2 linked regions of the Alligator mississippiensis genome follow. The protein of the gene in region 1 binds, or shares a complex with, the protein of each later gene. Links are inferred from orthologs where the notes say so. Each region holds a gene or a part of one and is shown on either strand. Other genes may lie near its edges. The genes, in order: KLHL3 and WNK3.

Region 1 (9,325 bases):
AGGATTTTAGGACAACAGAACAGAATTAGCTACTTCTGCTTTTCTGTTCAAAATACACGTACAAAAAACACCCTTGCCTACAAAGAAAAGATTTTGGTTTGTTTTTGAGGTAGCATTGTTTTCCTGTTTCGTCACAGCATTTTTCTCGCTGCCTATTACTACAAGCTGGACACATTAAACCTGTTAAAATGTGCAGTTGGTATAGATTGTTGTTACAAACAACAAAACCCAAAAAGCAGAGCCCATGACAAAAAGCAAATTCCATAAAACTTCAAAAATAGGGCAAAAAATTACTCTTAAAGAAAATGATTACTGGCTGCTTTCTGATGCAAATATTGGCTTTTTTCCTGAGAAACAGAATGAGAAACCAATTTCATGCAAATCCCCCAAAATCCATCATTTTAAAAGGTATAGTTATGCAAACGGAGATTGCCAGGAATTCGTCATCCGATTCATTAACGTAACTTCAGGCTATTTCTTGACAACAAGGTGCATTTCATTTTCTCAAAGAGCATCTGTATTTTTTTAAAACCAATTACCGCTGTGTAGTTTTGCCAAAAACACCCCACAGATCTTTTGCCAAAACCAGGTCAGATCAACGCTGAGCAGAAAACTGCAATTCTGACGTAAGCTAGGTAGGTTGCAAGGTGCGAGCCACTCAGACCAAAGCCCCAAATCTGCATACGTTTATGTACATGCACAACTTGTACCCGTGCAACTGGCCCTGCTGAACAGCTTACATGTGTAACACACGAGTACTGGCAGGTCTCGAGCTTGGGTCTGAAGCGATCTGAGGTCTCGCCCTCTTAGTTGATTTAAAAATAGGTTAGTTAACAAAGGGAAAGAGGGATCCATTTAAACTCCAGAGGCAACCCCCTACCCCCATCACACACATCCTAACAGAGGTCATATCTGAGACCTTAATTATTTATTTGGGTTTTTAAAGTCTTCCAGCCAAACCTCTGAGCACATGCATGAGAGTAACAGCAGAACCGCCACCAAAAAAAATACAACCTATCACCAACCTGATACATTCACCGTCCGACACGCTGAGATCAAGTACCTGACGGCATCATTTCAAGACCTATTCATTGCGTTTCTCAGCGCACACTATGCAGCTTTTGTGGCGTTTCTGTGACGTGCTCTGGTAGAATGGGGAAGCCTGTGAATAACTCAACTGTCTCCTCCGAGAGGGCAAAACTCCAAGTTACTGGTTCAGATCATTAAAGAGCCTCGTCTCCCAGCCCTAAACGTCAGCCATAGTTTGTTAGTTTGGGTAATTATATTCCGCTGACCTAAATCCCCCTGCAGTTTCAATTAGATGCTTCACTTTCAGAGGCTAAGCAGACATACAGCTTGTGACACCTCTTCGTTCCCTGAGGCCAGTCTAAAATGACGCTGAGAAAAATCGGAAGGGTCACTCTAAAGACAGCTGTGTTCCTACCGTGTCCTGGACAACCAGGCCCCAAACTGAACAGAGATTTTTGAACACTACCGTAACAGAAGTGATTAACGGTGATGATGACAACAATCCCTTGCCCGTAAGGTCAAATGCTGGGATAAAGAAGCACAAGGCTCCAGCTTCCTCTCCTGTCAACTCTCTCCACCACTAGATTCATGGCAAGAACTGGAAGGAAATGACATGAATCTAGAAAAGAACGAGTATACGATTCGAAGATGCTAACGGTGAAACATCCGCAGCTGGCCATTTAAACACCGACTGGAAACACTACATCTAGGATGCATTAAACAGCAGGACATCCAGGCTGAAAGTTGCATTTTGAGCAGTAAGTAAGTACACAAACAGCAGTTGCGATCCTTGAGTCACCTGAGGGTAGAAGCTCGCCTTTCGGTATTTGGGCAAAAAAGTGGCTACAGGGAGAGTAACTGGTCCAGAAAGTACAGCAGGGTTTGACCCCCCCAGTTCACTTCAGATACAGGGCACTGGAGAAGCAAAGTTTTCTCCAACCTGCAAAGGTTGGCAGCTTCCTTCAGCAAAGGCTTCCCTGCCCCCAGATGCAGGAGGTCACAGGCACAGCTCAAAAAGGAAGCACTCGGCATATCCTGTTTTCAGAAATGACTAGCTTCACGCTTGGTTTTGAGCGGGAAGGTGTTAAGACTCTGGCGTAAGAAAGTCACAGGGACAGCCGAGGAAAAAGGCTGGGTAGAGCACAGTAAATATTTAAGATTCCTCTGGTATCTATGAAGTTCCCAAGCAGCAATAACAAGGCTCGGTACTTGTGCTAGGTTCAAGGCGCTGTTCTAGCCACCGTACAGAAAACAAGGAGTTAAGGGCCGATTTACCGTATAAAAATCAAGCCCGTAGCTACTGGGGTCTCCCCCGCCTGTCATAAAGCACGGGTCACTGGTTTTTGCTTACAGAGGACGTGTAAATAGGCTGGCAGGCGCTTTGCAAACTTGGTCTACTTTTGTTCATTAACTACAAATAGCACTAACGAGCGGACGGTGGGGCCAGAACTGAACTCCACCAGCAGAAACACAAGCGGGGGAGGAAAAAACAAAGAAAGCAGAGCGCAGGATTGTTTCGCGGCGCGGATCTGGTGGCATGAAGTTCGCGGCTCTGCCGCAGCAGGTCAAGCCACGTGGCCTGCCAGCCCCCCTCGGGCTCCTCGTCACCTTGCCCGGGCTAATAAATGCATCCTAAGGGCTCGTACAGCAACCCTGTTCCATGCCCTGCAAAAACTAAATGGGTTATTGCAGCTCACGGCAGATGGAGGAGCTCCTCGCCGAGGATGCTGCACAGGCTCAGAAGGATGCAGAAAATAACGTACATCTGGGTGAAGGGGGTGGCAAGAAGCCCCTGTCCACACTGAACCCCCCCCCCCAGCTTCAGAGCCAACCGTGGCCCCCGAGGGACAGCAAGAGTCACCGGGATCAACTTGTGCCTGCTGCGCCCGGTGCCCGGGTGGCATCTCGCTGGCTAGCAGGCGGCCGCGGAGCAGCGCGCGGGAGGGGAAGCCGCGCTCCATCTCCCCTGAAACTGCTGGGCTCCTTTGGGTTTTAATTTAAAAAAAAAAAACCCCGTTTGTGGCTCATGTCCCCGGCTGCAGCTCACGTCTCCTTGCACACGCACGCTGCAAGGATCTGAAAGTGGGGGGAAGGGGCTAAATCTCCCCGTCCCCACACCGCTGAGACACGCACACACCCCCACGGAGACGCCACAGACACACATTCCCACAGACCCACACACACCTCCCCCACACACACCACACACAGCCACCGCCTACACCCCCACACACACCCCAGCAGCTGATCTGGGATCAGCTGCCCAGGGAGGGGGGGGTGAGGGGGCAGTCCCCGTGACCCGCGCGCACACACGCACACGCACACACACACACACCTCCCCCGCCGTCACGCACCTCTCCTGGTCCATGTCGGCGCGGGGCCGGGCGCTCAGGGCGCGCCGAGCAGCATGGCCGGGCCGGCCCCTGCAGCAGCAGCACGGCGGCGGCGGCGGTGGCAGCGGCGCTAGTAGCGGCGGCGGCGGCTCCTTACCCAGCGCTCCCTGCAGCCCCGCCCACCCCCCCCCACCGCGCCCGGTCTCCCGGCAACGCCGCCGAGCACCCCTCCCCCCGGCGGCGGCGGCGAGGCGGGCTGCGGGCCCGGGCCGCCGGAGGAAGGGGCAGCGGGCCCCCGCGGCCTGCAGCCTCGGCCGCAAGATGCCCGCCGGGGCTGGGGGAGCGTCTCGGGCCCAGCCTCGAAGGACTGAGCTGAACTGATTTGGCCCAAAACACGAATTAAAAACCAACACAAACCCGCCTGCATCGCCCCCGGGCTGCTCGGACCGTGCCGCCGGCCGGCCCCTCGCCCGCGGCCGCCTGGCGCGTCCCCGCCTGCCGCGACAGCAGCCCCAGACCCCGGCAACATGGATACACGGGTCAAGGGTGGGTTTGGCCTCGCCGTAGAGACGCGGGGATGCAGGCAGGATTTCACGTGGGAAGCCGAAGAAGCGCGAGGCTCCCCACATGTCCCCTTGGGAAGGGGACTCTGCTCCTGCTCGGTATTTCCAAGTGCCGTCGGGTCCCATCGCGTGGAGCCCCTGGCGCAGAGACCACCGGGGCGCTTTGCTGGGACCGGGGGCACCACCTCGGCCCCAGAGTCGGGTCAGGAACACGGGAGCAGGCCCAGGATCGTGCAGCTCCACCGCGTACAAGGCAAGCACGGGGGTCGCGGGGCTGCACCACGCGCCCCGGCACGAGCGCCGCTCCTCCACGCACGCTCGCGTCGCAGACAGAAGGCAAAGCGTGAAGCGCAACCAACTCCGAGACGTACGAGCTTATTATGCGCGTCCCTGAAATAGTGTGCAACGTGCAACTCTGCCCTGCCTTCGGCCGGACTTCAGGCTAACGTGGTTTACTACCTCCCCGCGCACTTTTCAGAGGGCAGCGTTCAGCTTTCCAAAGGTCCGTCTTCATGAAAACACCCCCAGACACTGCAGTGACAGGCAGCGATTGAGATCATTTGGAGAATGCTTCCCCCAATGCTTTTTGGCTGTTGCTTCTTTGTCAAATAGGTTGACAGTGCCAAGGTATTTCAACACCGGAAGTCAAGGCCAAAACTTTACCTGTAGCTTAGCTAAATGTTACTCTAGTAGAGCACTGGAGACGCTAGCAGTTTATTATAGAGTGAGTGTGTATATGCTGTATGTCCACTAATTTTGGCTGTTAATCATTTCCTAACAAGAGACCAATAGTGTACATTTCATCCATTCAGAGTTACGTACGATATGCATATCCTGCCAGGCCAACTTATCTATTATTTGATCAAAGTTTCTTCTAGACTCCAGATGGTAGCAGTCACAGTTTGAGCCCTCCAGCACTGGTTTTTACAACACCTCCCATTTTTATTCCAGCTAGTGTAACTGCTGGAGTGATTCTTATAATCATCTATGAATTTTCCAAAGCTATTATTTCCCCCATCATGTTCTGTAGCAACAAGTTCCAAAGGTTAATTGTACAGAGCACAGAGGGGAATTTGCTTTCTTGTTTGCTTTTCCATTCATTCAGCGCTCTTGTAGTGTGGGAAGAGATGTGCAGAACTGTCCAAAAGCCTTTGCCAAGCCATGTAATACTCCATCTCCTTTGTACAATTATATAACCCTAGCCTTTTAAACTTCCACCTTAATAGGAGGCATTCTATTGGGTACCTTCAGTCATTTTTAACTAAGTTCAATTGCTTTTAAATTTTATCCATGATAATAATTTAATAAATTGTCCTTCTACAGTGCCTTTTACCCAAGAACCTGTGCAAATATAACAGAGGTAAAACTAGATTTTATCATCCCTACTCTAAACTTAGGCATAGGGAAATGAAGTCAGCCAATGTCACATAGTATATGAAGGAAGGCTGGGAATAGCACCCAAGGCTCCTGCCATCTAGTCCCACAGTTTAAACAATTTTGCCTGTTTCCTTATAGACAAACACAACCAGAATTTCATACAGGATTCTGCAGACCCCCGAGGAGAAAGTTGCCCAGATGTTCCCTTTGGAAGGGATCAGTGGGAAGATTTTAACTCAGATCCTACTAGTGCCCATTTAGTCATATGCTCCCAGAACACAGCCCAAAGCTAGTAAGGGCATAAAAGCAAACAGCAAAAGTAACAACACTAAAAGCGGTAGTGAAATGAGAGCCCTTGTCCTTCTCTTTGAATGCAAAATGGCAAAGCTCCTCACTGATGACAGAAGGAGCACAGGTAGGTTCTGTGCCAAGCCCCTGAGCAGCATAGAGGTATTACACAAGTGACTACTAACTCACAAGGTACTCGCCTCTCAGTTTAAAGGCCACTGACAGAAGACCTCACCTCATGCACCCTAGTCTAGTGCCAATGACAAGACTAGAGCACTCGATGGGTAGCAAGTGCTGGGCTAGAACAAAGATACAGTCAAGGAAGCAGTGATTGTCTTTATAGCAGCCTTGTAAAACAGTCGTGCCTGGCACAAACTTTGCCTGCTACTTCCTACAAGATTGAGGGGCATGAAAATGAAGATATTTTACTCGCTATCCAGAAATCACTCATGCTTCGTGATGGGAATTTTCTCATGACTGTTCCAAGTAATTAGCAAGTCAAAGAGTTTGGAGGTTTCCTGAAGCATGCGTGTAAAGTTGGCACGTTCTGACTCAACATGTAGCACCGATTCCAAGCCTGCATCTTCAAGTCTTGGCTGCTCGTCAGGGTATTTTTATTTAGAAAAGTCTCTCTAACTTCTGGCATCTGTGATCCCTACCAGTAAAGAATCAAATCGGTGAAAGTCTGATGGGTCTCACTTAGATTGTAAACTTTAGGGCAGGGAGCATCAGCTCAAAAGCAACTATTGAAACCAGCCAGTTGATACTGGGGAGCCCAGCAGGGGATCTCTTCGACTTAATCTTCAGAAGTCTTCAGCCCCAGCAGCTCCACTGCACTTCAAGTGGAATCAAAAGTGATCAGTACTAAGTGTGAATGGGTCTGTTTGAATGCCCAAAGCTTCAAGCATCAAAGATCAGAGACATTTGAGGTGGAAAAAAACCAGAACAAAACCTAAATCTTATGTTTTTACTCCCTTTGTAACATGCTTATCACTTCTTTTGAGTACCCAAAGATATAATTTGTACTACTGTACAAATTTGCTGTAATTTAGAGCAGTCAGCCTATCTTTTGTCTTTTTCCCAGGATAAACCAAGGTAAAATGTTCAGCAAAACAACTCCTACTAGGATTAGGATATCCTTGTAAGGCCCCAAATTAGCAGGACACCCTTTGTGAGAATCCAGTAGGGATTCACAATAAGGCTGTTTGCAGATCTGGGGATCCATGTGTTTTTGGCAGCTTAAATGTCAAAGATAAACGCACTGGATTCATTACTGCACCCTTAAGGTTTTGACTCAGTTTAATGATAAGAATGTAGGCCTCATTTACTTATCTCCAAATGTCCTGTACTCTTTCTACACAGGCAGCATGGAAAGATCCTGCGTAACCCTAGACTCAGCTGCAGCAGAAAAGAAAAAAAAATGATGGTAGATGAATTTCTTTTTTAAGCTGCGAATGTTGCCCTCTAGCGGCAGATGTACAGTTATGTTAATCTTGCTTTACCACTAGCCTGCATATTACCTTGACAAAAATGCAACTTTTCTGGATTCTAGTACGCAGTATCAACCCTTTGCTCTATGTTTAAATGGTTTGCGTCATGCTGATACTCCTCCCCACCCCCCAAACTCTTCAAATTTAGAACATTATGAAGACAAGGAATGGCCACAATTGGAACCTGGCTATGAATTTTAGAATGCAAAAAAGTTACTGCTCTGCTCGCACAAGGTAACAACGAACAGCTAAGCTGCAAAACCATTACTACACCTTGATTTAAAAAAAAATAAATAAAAGCAAGTGTCCTCACCCACAGCCAAACACGGCACAGATGCAAACTGCCTTCCCTAAATCCATATTGCAACTATACCGGGGTCATCTGAAAAGGAGCGTCGCAGGAACATGTTACACTAGAGAGTAAACAAAGTAAAAATTAGCAGCAGTGGGAACACAAAATATGGGTGGAGGGGAAGGGGTAGATAAGGTGTGTGAATAAATACCTAAACAGGGTGAAATGCTTCAGGAAAAGGCGATGGAGGTCCATGTTCCTGTAAATGGACCAAAGGAAAGTGAAACAAACCAAATAATAAATCAACACTATGCTGATGCTACTAAAAGTGTTCTCTGTAGAAAAGATTGCCCTAATGGTTATATATTTGCCCCAAACTGGACATATGGGCACACAACACATTTTAAAGTAATTTAAAGAAAAGCAGAGGATGCTTGTTTCCCCATTCTGGGAGGGGTCGTGATTTAGTGTCTAGAGCCTTGTTGGGTTCCAGCATCACTGACTCTTAGCTAGGTGACACAGGAGGAAACTTTTCAGAGGCAGAACGTAGCAGTTTGCCCATTTGCAAGGTGTGCAGGGTTATGCCCACCCCTCCCTGCCAAACCAATGCCTTAAAACTTGAGTAATACCCTCCTTAGTTTGGGCAGGCTACTGATGCAAGTCATAACCATGCTGGAAGGTTTAACTGGCAGACAAGGTTCTTTAGGTACATCTGATATCTTCTTTTAAACCAACTCCTTGTCTGCCTATGTCCTTAGACCAACACGGCTACAGCCTATACCCCTGTACCTAGTGCTGAAGAGCGATTTTGGCATACTGGCATAAACCAGTCTCATCTATGCTAGAGAAAATTCTCTCCCGCCACCTCCCAGGTCTAGGCCTAAATCACCATTACCCTTGGTTGCTCATTTCCTCTGGTTTCCTTCCCCTTTTAGATTTTACTTTCCATTTCTCGTTCTTAACATGTCAAATAAACTTGGGCACACTGCTTTATCCACCAGAACATTATGAGGTATGACATTATGATGCAACTCCTAGCACAAGCATACAAGCTACAGGTGCAGCATTAAAAGGCTTAGGGGGTGCTGTTTTTCCACAGGCACATTCCTTTGCCTATTTGAATCTATATTTACCAGGTAGTCTAGTGATACCTAAATAACGTAGACTCTCTCGTGAGCTCGCTCAGGACCTCAGACAAATGAGACATTGTTCAATCTAAAATCATAAGCCTTGTCAACTCCATTTTGGGATTCAGCCCACTCTACTCTAAGCCCTGGTTTCTATTCCTCTATAAAGTTTGTGTCACATTATTTGAGGGCTCAGATGTCTCATGCTGTTTCAGCTCACTAGATGCAGTCTCCCTCTGTAGAGAAGGTATTTTAAGAGACTTCTGCTTCAGTTAATCAGTATTGTGATACCTTTTGTATTAACTTTAGCTGAAAGATTAGAAAAAAAATGGACAATTACCTTTAAGTCTTCTAATGAATATATCACATCACACTTGTGGCATACCAAGCCTCTAGCATGGCACAGATGGGTATCTTGCCAGAATTATTTGGAATAATCTTTAAAATTCTTGGATTGTGAGCCATGTATTTTTAAGCTTTAAGGAAGACCATCCTGTCCATTGTCTAAATGGAAGATGGAGCTTCCACGACATACATAAAAACAGCTGCCTATCGTATAAAAAAAAAAAATCCAACATTTGAACTGCTAAATTGGTTTGGATTTATTGTTTCTCCTCGTTTGGAAGGACAGTTCTGGGAAAGTTGATCAGCCACTCCTACATTTGATGACATTGAGCAACTATGCATCAGGTCTCATTAACGGCTACAAAGATTCACTTTTACAAGTGCTATTGATTTCCTAATACACAGGAAAGAGCATGGACATTTAAAGCAGGCAGGTTTCCAGATTTGTGCCTATACCATACAAAAGGTTAAACCCAGTAAACAG
Region 2 (8,451 bases), on another chromosome or scaffold:
CAATAAATGTAGACCCCCATAAGTTCAAATGATCACACTATTAACTGATCAATCCAGCAATATGTTTAAAGCAGCCACACCTCCAAAGTAAAACGATCAAGTCATAAAAATAGCCCTCCAGCTACAAGTGCCAACCTGATACAAAGTTAGTGTTTCAAAATGTGTATTGACTCTATAGCTGGTTTCTATCCAGCTTTACTCTGCATGGGTGGTAGGGCCCTACAAAGCATGCCCCCCTCTTGCAAGCTTTGCAACTGATATTTTTTTTCCAAAAGGTCTGCTGGGGCTTTCTATATCCCCTGAAGCATTTTACGCTTTTTCTAGGGCAGACATCCCATTGCAATCTATCCCTGATTATGGAGCCTGGCAACATGGAAATGCTTTGAATTCAAAGCATCCCCACCTCTTGCAATCCAGGTTCAAATTAAAGCTGGACAGAAATCAGCTATAGAGTTCTCACACATTTCCAAGCGCTGATTTTGTAACTAGTAGGCTCTTTTTATACATGGATGGCCATTTTTGTGGTGTGATAATTACACTTTGCACATGTGGCCTGTCTCAATTTATTGCGTGACTGACCAGCTAATTGTGTAATAATTGCTTTGCATAGGTCGCCTGTCTGAACATTTTGAATGGGAGGGATTCCAGAGGGATCCAGTCTCAGGAGGCTGTACCCCTCCCCTATCACCTCGTGGTCCCTGGCTGTGGCTAGCCACTGGGGGAAATGGGACCCTCCCCCAGGCTCCCTCCCCTACTTGTGATCCACATCCGGGGATTTTTCATGATTAACAAATCACTGTAATTATTTATTCATAATAATACAGAGGTGGATTTTTCCACAGGGGAGGAAGGGGACTTTGTACAGGTGGGGGGGGGGGGAAGGGGCGAGGTGGGGATGCTGTTATACTTAGCCATTCACCAGCTTATCCACCTGAGCCAGTCATATCTCTGCCCTCTCTGGTGGTGTTACATACAGCCATTCCAACCCAGAGTCAGCCACATCTCCCTCCCCCCGACCATTCCCCTTGTCTTATACGCAGTCATTCCACCCCAAAACTGGCTGCATGTCAGTCCTCTTCCTGGCATTATACTCAGCCATTCTACCCCAGAACTGGCTGCATCTCCCCTGCTTCCTTTGTTACATTCAGCAATTCCACACCAGAGCTATTCACATCTCTGTCCTCCCTTGTCGTGTTATACTCAGCTGAGAGCTGGAAGCATCTCAGCCCTCCTTTATGATGTTATACTCAGTTGTTCCACCCCAGAGCTGGCTGCATCCTGGTGCCAGGCGAGTCCAGAGGCATCCATCTGTTGAGGGCAGGGAGGGGGTTAGCTGGAGGCCACCAGCTTCTTCCTAATCCACAAACAGTCCATCTACCACCTGCCAGCATACAGTCCATGATGTCCAGAGGCATGTGGGGTGGGGGGGGAGCAGGAAACACCTCCTCTGCTTTCCTCACTCACTTCTTCTTCTTCTTCTGGACTAGGGTCCAGCCATCCTCAGGGGCGGGTGGAGGGCTGGGGGGTGGCTCAGCCCTGCTGCACTCCATGGCCTGGGGGTGGTAAGGGAGGAAGAAGGGAGGTTAACACAGACCCTTCCCAGGCTCATGCCCTCTTCCCTATCCACCTAGACATCCATACCTCCGGCATTTCTTCCTCCTCCTCCTCCTCACTGCTCTGGGATTCAGGCTGGGCCTGGGCTGCAAGCACACAGGCCCGGGGAGCAGCCTGGGCCAGGCGAGCAATGGCATTGTGGGCGGACCCCGTCTCCCCACTCTGGCACTGCCCAAACAGCCACTGTAGCTGCTGGCTCACCTGGGGAGGGCAGAAGGGGCAGTGATGGGATGTGAAGGGATAGAATGCTGCCCCTAGGCATCCCAGAATGCTTTAGGGCAGAGCACCCCCAGAATCATGCCAGCATGCCCTGGGGTAGGCAACACTGCCTCCCAGTTATCCCAGCATGCCTGAGGACAAAAAGCACACCCTCCCCCAGCCATCGTGGGGCAGAATGAATGTCCTGGGGAAGAGACCCTATAACCATCCCAGCATGCCCTGAAATAAATAACACTCCCCGCCAAGCCATCCCAGAGTGCCTCGCAGTAGATAACACTCCCCCTCATAACCCTCCTAACATATGCTAGGGTTGATAAACATCCCAGCATGCCCTGGGGCAGAGGGCACCCCTCACACCATCCCAGCATGCCTTGGGGTAGACAACACTCCCCCACAGCCATCTCAATATGTCCTGGGATAGACAATACCGTCTCCTCTATCCCAGGATGACTTGAAGCAGAGAATCTTCCCAGCTATACCCAGAAAGCCCTGGGGGATAGGAACACCCCCACCCATCCTAGAATGCCTTGGGATAGAGCTATCCCAGAATGCCTTGGGGCAGAGAATGCACCCCCACAGACATCCCAGAATGCCCTAGGGCAGAGGTTCCCAACCACCTGGCACTGGTGGGTTGGCTGCTGGGTCACGGCACAAGCCCCCCACTCAGAGCCCTGTCTGTCTGCCTGGGCAAGCAGCTTCCAGGGTCACAGCTCAGCTTCCAGGGTTAAAGCCAGGTGGCAGGGTAGCCCTGGGAGAGGGGCAGCCAGTTCTGTGTGCCCCATCCCACTCCAGTGGAGCCACAGTAAAAAAAAAAGGTTGGGAAACACTGCCCTAGGGCAAAAGACTGTTTCCCCCTGCCTCAGGCTATCCCATGACACCCTGGGGCACAGGGACTACCCTCAGCTATCCTCAGAATACCCTGGCTGGATGGGGGCAGGAGGATGTTTAATGTGGAAGGGCTTTCCTTCCCTGCCCTAGGGCATCATGGGATTGTACCTCCCCCCCGGAGCTCCTTCCCAGCAAGCCCTGGGGCAGGGCTCACCTGAGCCAAACTGCCATCTTCAACAACAGTGTCAAACTCACGGTCCAGCACCTCGGCCAGGAAGTCCTCGATCTCGTCCTGCTCCAGGTCAGCTGGGGGAAGGGCAGAGTGAGGGATGGAACCCAGGTGTCCGGGCAGCCCAGATCCAGTCAAGACCAGGATCAGGGAGGTGCTGGGCACTGTACAGACCGCCCCCAGCCAGCATCAGGAGGTGCTGCACATCCCTGCCCCCCCCCCCCCCCCTCGCCAATTCTTCCTGCCCCTACGTACCGTTGTTGTGGAAATACTCCTCCACGGCACCCCCCAGCCATGCTGCCTTCTCGGGCCCATGGGTCCCCCCAAAGCCATTCTCCACTGCAATCTAGGGTGACAGGTTGGGGCTCCTCAGGATCAGGGGGGCTGAGGGGTCCCCCAAATCTTCCTCCTTCCCTTCCCCATCCCTTTGGGATTGAGAAAGGGGGTGAGGATCTTTTCTATAGGAGGTGGAGGTCTCATAGATCTCTCCTGCCCCTAAGCACTGCTGTAGACGCAAGGTCTTGTACAAGGGATGTCCATCTTCCCTCCCCTTTGCGTGTTTCTATAGGGAATCTATATAATGTTTATGCTAGAAACCTATATGGCCCTTGATATTTATCTGGGGATGCCTATATATGCTGAAGGGAGCTCTAGAGGGTAGCCTGACACCCCCTACATTTCTATGGGGAATTGCATAAATTGTATAAGCCAGGGGACTTCTACAGGTGTTCAGGTCTATAAGAGCACCAACTACTCCTGCATTTCCATGGAGGCTCCTATAGGTGCAAGGGGTTCTATACATGTACCTCCTACCCCAGTGTTTCATGGAGACTTCTATATGCACCAGGATTTCCATGGGGGCACCTGCTACCCAAGCATTTCCATGGAGACTTCTATAAATGCTAAGATCTCTAAAGAGGCACCTGCTATTCCTGTCTTTCCACAGGGACATTTTCTATATGTACTAGGAGATCCAGCACCCCCCCTAGTGTTTCTACAGGGACTTCTATAGGTACCAGGGGCTCTATAGGGGACCCTGACTCCCCCTATACTACTGTAGCCATTGTTATGGGTACAGTGGTGAGTGGTTCTATAGGAGCACCTGCCCCACATTTCCACAGATTTCTATACGTGTTGATGGATCTATAAAGGATCCAGCAACTCCCCTAGTGCTTCTGTGGGGATACCGACATATGCCAGCGGAACCAGGGGACTCTGGTACCCTTTTATACTTCCATATGTGCCAGGAATGGTTCTGTCGGGGCATCTATTACCCCTGCGTTTTCCCCGGTGCCAGGCAGGGGATTCGGTCCCACACACGCGCTAATGTGTGAGTGGGGGTTTCTATAAGGGCCGCGCGAGTTACATAGGAGCTCCCGCTCCTCAAATGCATCAGCAGGGACGTCTATAGGCGCTAGCGGGGATAGCTATAGGAAACCATTCACCTATAGATGCCTCCAGGGCCCTAATGCTCCCTCACCTGAAGCGCAGTCCAGCTGCCCAATACAGCCCGGACCCCCTGCCCGAAGAGGCCACGTGTCTCCTCCCTGGGTGCCGCCATGACAGGGCCGGTCAGGCGAGCCAATCGAGCGCGGAGGACATCGATTCCATTCCTCTTCCTCCACCCGGTGAGGGGAGAAGCAATAGAGTGCCGTTTTCATCAATCGGCGCGTCGTTTTCGCTGAACGCGGCGCCTCCTACCCACCTGCCTTTTGCCCTGAGGTCGGAAGTTCGGGTCTCGCGACTCGGGTTTTACCGGGAGGCGGGAGCTTTTCAATTTCGTGTTTGCATGATCTTTGCAAGAGGCCACAGCTGCGGCTGCTGGTGTTGGGTGGCATGTAACAAGGGGGGCGGGGTGATTTGACCTGGCAGAGGCATTTATTGGTGTAGGTGACCTGCAAGAGAAGAGAGAGGGGTGCAGCTAAGGAAGCAAACAGGAGCCTGGCTGCTCTTGTATAACAGGCCCCGCACATTCTACCAGCTGAGGGGATGGGGGCCCCTAGGCCCCTGGCCTGCATGGACTATCAGCAGGGTCCCAGTAACAATAGCAATATCCGGGTGGCAGTGATTGGCTATGTCTTGGCCCCTGGAGGTGCCCACTGTCTCTAGGCAGCCCCACAGAGACTATGGCTGTGTGAGGGTTGGCCACACTAGGCCACCATATTCGTTGTATTTGTGTGACTGAGTCATGCCCACTATCTCTACACAGAGGGCCGTGGCAGTGTGGGTGTTCGGTGACTAGGCCATGCCCACTGAGGCCGTGGCTGTTTGAGGGTTCGCCAGCTGGGCAGTCACATTGGTTGTATTTATGTGACTGGTCTTTACACAGAGGCCCATGGTCATAAGGGCTGAACTGGGTGGCCATCTTTGGCCACCCTTTTGATGTGACTCCATCAGATTCCCACAGCTGGGGAAGGCCCACTGTGGAGCCAGGGAAGGGAAAACGGTGTGTGAGTGTGGGGGCTTGTGTCCCTCCCCCCCTTCCTCGGGGCTGGGAACATGGTTGCCTGAGATAATCCCCCCTTCCCCTCGTACAAGCCAGGGAGGGTGTAAAAACTACAACTCCCAGGAGGCTTTGCTCCTCCCTCCCTCCCAGCCTTTGGACATGCGCAGTTCTCGCAAAGGTACTCGCACTAGCCATTCTTCCCCCGCCCCAATCTTTGCGCATTCGTGGCATCCCCCTCCAGAGTGAATGGATGAGGGATGGGGTGAGGCGGGGCGGGACTGGTGGAGATGGGAAGGGATAAAAGTGGGGGGCAGGGCTGGAGTCAATGGGGAAGAGGTAAAGGGGGCGGCGGCGGCAAATGGGGTTCGAGTAAGTAGTGGGGAGGGGTCGAGTCAGTGGGGTAGGGGATAAGTGGTGGGGGTGTTAGGTGGGGAATAAGTGGAGGTAGAGGGCCCTTGGGTCAAAGGGGAGGGGGGGTGTGCTAGAGAGAGAGCACCTGTGTGTGTGATGTGGGGGCAGGAATCCAACACTGGGGGTGGTTAGGGTTTTATTGGGAGGGAAGGTCACTGTACACCACCTGCCAAATATACACACAGAACCCAGCCATCTGGGACACACTCAGGATTCAGGTGTCCAATACACACACACACACACATCCCCACACACATGTATGCATGCACACACCCCCTCAGGCATCTGGAATGCACACCCACACTGGTGCACACGAGACCCAGGCATCTGAGAGACTTACGCATGCACAGGGGATACATGTGTCTGGGATGAATGTGTGCATACACACACACACATACAAATGACCCAGGTCTGAGATGTACACACACACACACACACACACACACACACACAGGCATCTGAGAGATGTACACATGCATGTGCACACACATGCCCTAGATATCTGAGAGATGTATACACACACACTCAACCCAGGTATCTGAGATGTGCACAGACACGACCCAGGCATTTGAACACACACGCACGACTCAGGCATTCAGGATGCATGCGTGCACACAGAACCCAGGTGTCCAGAATGCATGCATGCGCATTCATCATTCACACACACACGCTACTCAGGTGTCCAGGACCCACACACACACAGAACCTAGGCATCAGGGATGCGTGTGTGCACATACACACAAACCCATTAGTACCACAAGACTGCTGATGACCTGGGGTATTAGCTGGGGCCAATGTCAGTTGCAGTCACACCCCGAGGGCAGGGTGCTGTGCTGTGGTGGGTGGAGCATCCAGAGAATTGGGGTTCATGCAGTACAGTCAGCATGTGTCCTTCCCCCCATGCATGCGGTGATGTGGGGTGCTATGGAAGGGGGGTGTAGTGGGGGTATGGAGGTTGTGAGGGGGTGTGTCTGTTGCTGGGGTGGTTGAAATGGTTCATAGATTCATAGATGTAGGGTTGGAAGGGACCTAAGTAGATCATCAAGTCCGACCCCCTGCCCTGGGCAGGAGAGAATACTGGGCTTATATGACCCCAGCTAGGTAATTGTCAAGCCTCCTCTTAAAGACTCCCAAGGTAGGAGCCAGCACCTCTTCCCGTGGAAGTTGGTTCCAGATCCTAGCTGACCTGACTGTGAAGTAGTGTCTTCTAATATCCAGCCTGAACTTACTCTCAAACAACTTATGGCCGTTATTCCTTGTTACTCCGGGAGGTGCACGGGTGAACAGGCTGTATTTGGAAAAGGAGTGTGTGCATGTATTAGGAGGTTGAATATAAATTTGTTGGAAAGGGATTGTGGGAGAGGGAGTATGTGTCTGTATGTACATGTGTGTGTGTTGGGGGAGTGTGTGTCTCAGAAGGGGATTGTATTGGAAATAGCACACCTGGTTTCTGACCTCTGCTGTGAATGAAGAGTGGGGTCTGGTGAGTCAGACTGCTGGGGACTGGGTGCTTGAACCTCTGATCCCCAGGTCTGGCAGGGAGCAGATCTAGTGATTAGAGCAAGGGATTGGGAGCCAGGATACCTGGGTTATCTCACTGGGGAGCTCCCTTCATATATCAGAAAAATTATGTAGCAACCTGCTGTTCAGGGGGGTCACCTGGCTCGTGTCTGTCTGTCTAGACAACTGAGTTCTGGGGGGAAAAAGGGGAGGGTGGTCTCTCAGATGCCCAGGATCTCTGTGTGAGCGTGTCTGTGTGTCTGTCCTGGACACCTGGGTTCTTGGGGGTGGGATGGGGTGGTGTCCTGGATGCTTGGGTACTGGAGGGAGGGGTGTGTTTGTGCATGTCCTGAGCACTTGGGTTTGTGGGGGGAGTCCCAGGTGGCTGGGTTCTGTGTGGGTGGGTGTATCCCAGGCAACTGGGTTCTGGAGGGGGGTTTGTGCACGTGCATGTGTCCTGGGCGCCTGGGTCTGGGGGGTGGCAGTGTGTGCGTGCGTGTGTGTGTCCTGCAGGCCTGCGTTTTGTGTGTTTGTGTGTGTATGCGTGTTCTGGATGCCTGGGTTTGGGGGATAGGGTATCCCAAATACCTGGGTTCTGGGTGTGTCATTGGGGGTGGAGAAGTGCCCTAAACACCTGGGTTCTTGGGATTTGTGGGGCTGTGTGTGTGTGCCAGATGCCTGGGTTCTGGGGGAAGGGGGTGGTCTGGGTGTGTCGTGTGTGTCTGTCCTGGACACCTGGGTTCCGTGTGCATGTGTTCTGGACACCTGGATTCAGTGTGTGTGTGTGTACTGGAGGCTGCGGGTGTTGCTGAAACATCCCCCCCCTGCCCCCACCCCGTGTGTCGCTGGGAAGATGCTGCCATCGCTGGCCTCTTTCTCCCTGTCTTTTTCCGGGCACCTTTGACAGCGTCCAGGAGACGAGATTGCCTGCAGGGAACCAGCTGACCTCTCCCTGGGTAGTCGGGTGAGCTGCAGTCCCCTCACCCCCATCCCCTTAGTGGATGGGATAGTGGGTAGGGGGGTTCCATGGTTTCTTCTGTGCCAAGAAGAGCTAATCCTAGCTTTACCTGCTCGTCCCCCGGAAGTCCTTCCTTTGGAGGAAGGAGTGGGTGGGTTGGGGGGGGTGGGATTTTATCTCTTGGCAGCTGCTTTGGCTTTGGGGAACACCTCCCCCACTCTCATGGCGGAGATGGAGGGGTGGACG

Evidence for each region.
Region 2: the proteins of KLHL3 (region 1) and WNK3 are in contact, whole or in part, in a crystal structure (PDB 5NKP), measured with the Homo sapiens proteins. The link is inferred for Alligator mississippiensis from reciprocal best matches to the Homo sapiens genes KLHL3 and WNK3. Residues at the interface, in NP_059111.2 of Homo sapiens: Lys312, Arg339, Phe355, Gly357, Arg360, Thr386, Phe402, Gly404, Ser405, Gly407, Ser432, Ser433, Tyr449, Gly451, Arg454, Cys456, Ser481, His498, Arg528, Tyr577; in NP_065973.2 of Homo sapiens: Glu537, Cys538, Glu539, Glu540, Thr541, Glu542, Val543, Asp544, Gln545, His546.

What each region holds. Positions count from the first base shown.
Region 1 is NC_081832.1:72,934,953-72,944,277, forward strand, and holds the start of KLHL3 (kelch-like protein 3), read right to left. Parts: upstream 3,505-9,325; 5' UTR 3,395-3,504; coding exon 3,381-3,394; intron 1-3,380. UniProt on the Homo sapiens protein: Substrate-specific adapter of a BCR (BTB-CUL3-RBX1) E3 ubiquitin ligase complex that acts as a regulator of ion transport in the distal nephron.
Region 2 is NC_081831.1:27,927,329-27,935,779, forward strand, and holds the start of WNK3 (serine/threonine-protein kinase WNK3), read left to right. Parts: upstream 1-4,534; 5' UTR 4,535-4,612; intron 4,613-5,214; exon of another isoform or gene 5,215-5,598; intron 5,599-7,659; exon of another isoform or gene 7,660-8,211; intron 8,212-8,371; exon of another isoform or gene 8,372-8,451. Other genes in the region: pre-rRNA-processing protein TSR2 homolog, read right to left, coding at 1,461-1,553, 1,642-1,815, 2,876-2,967, 3,146-3,236, 4,371-4,451.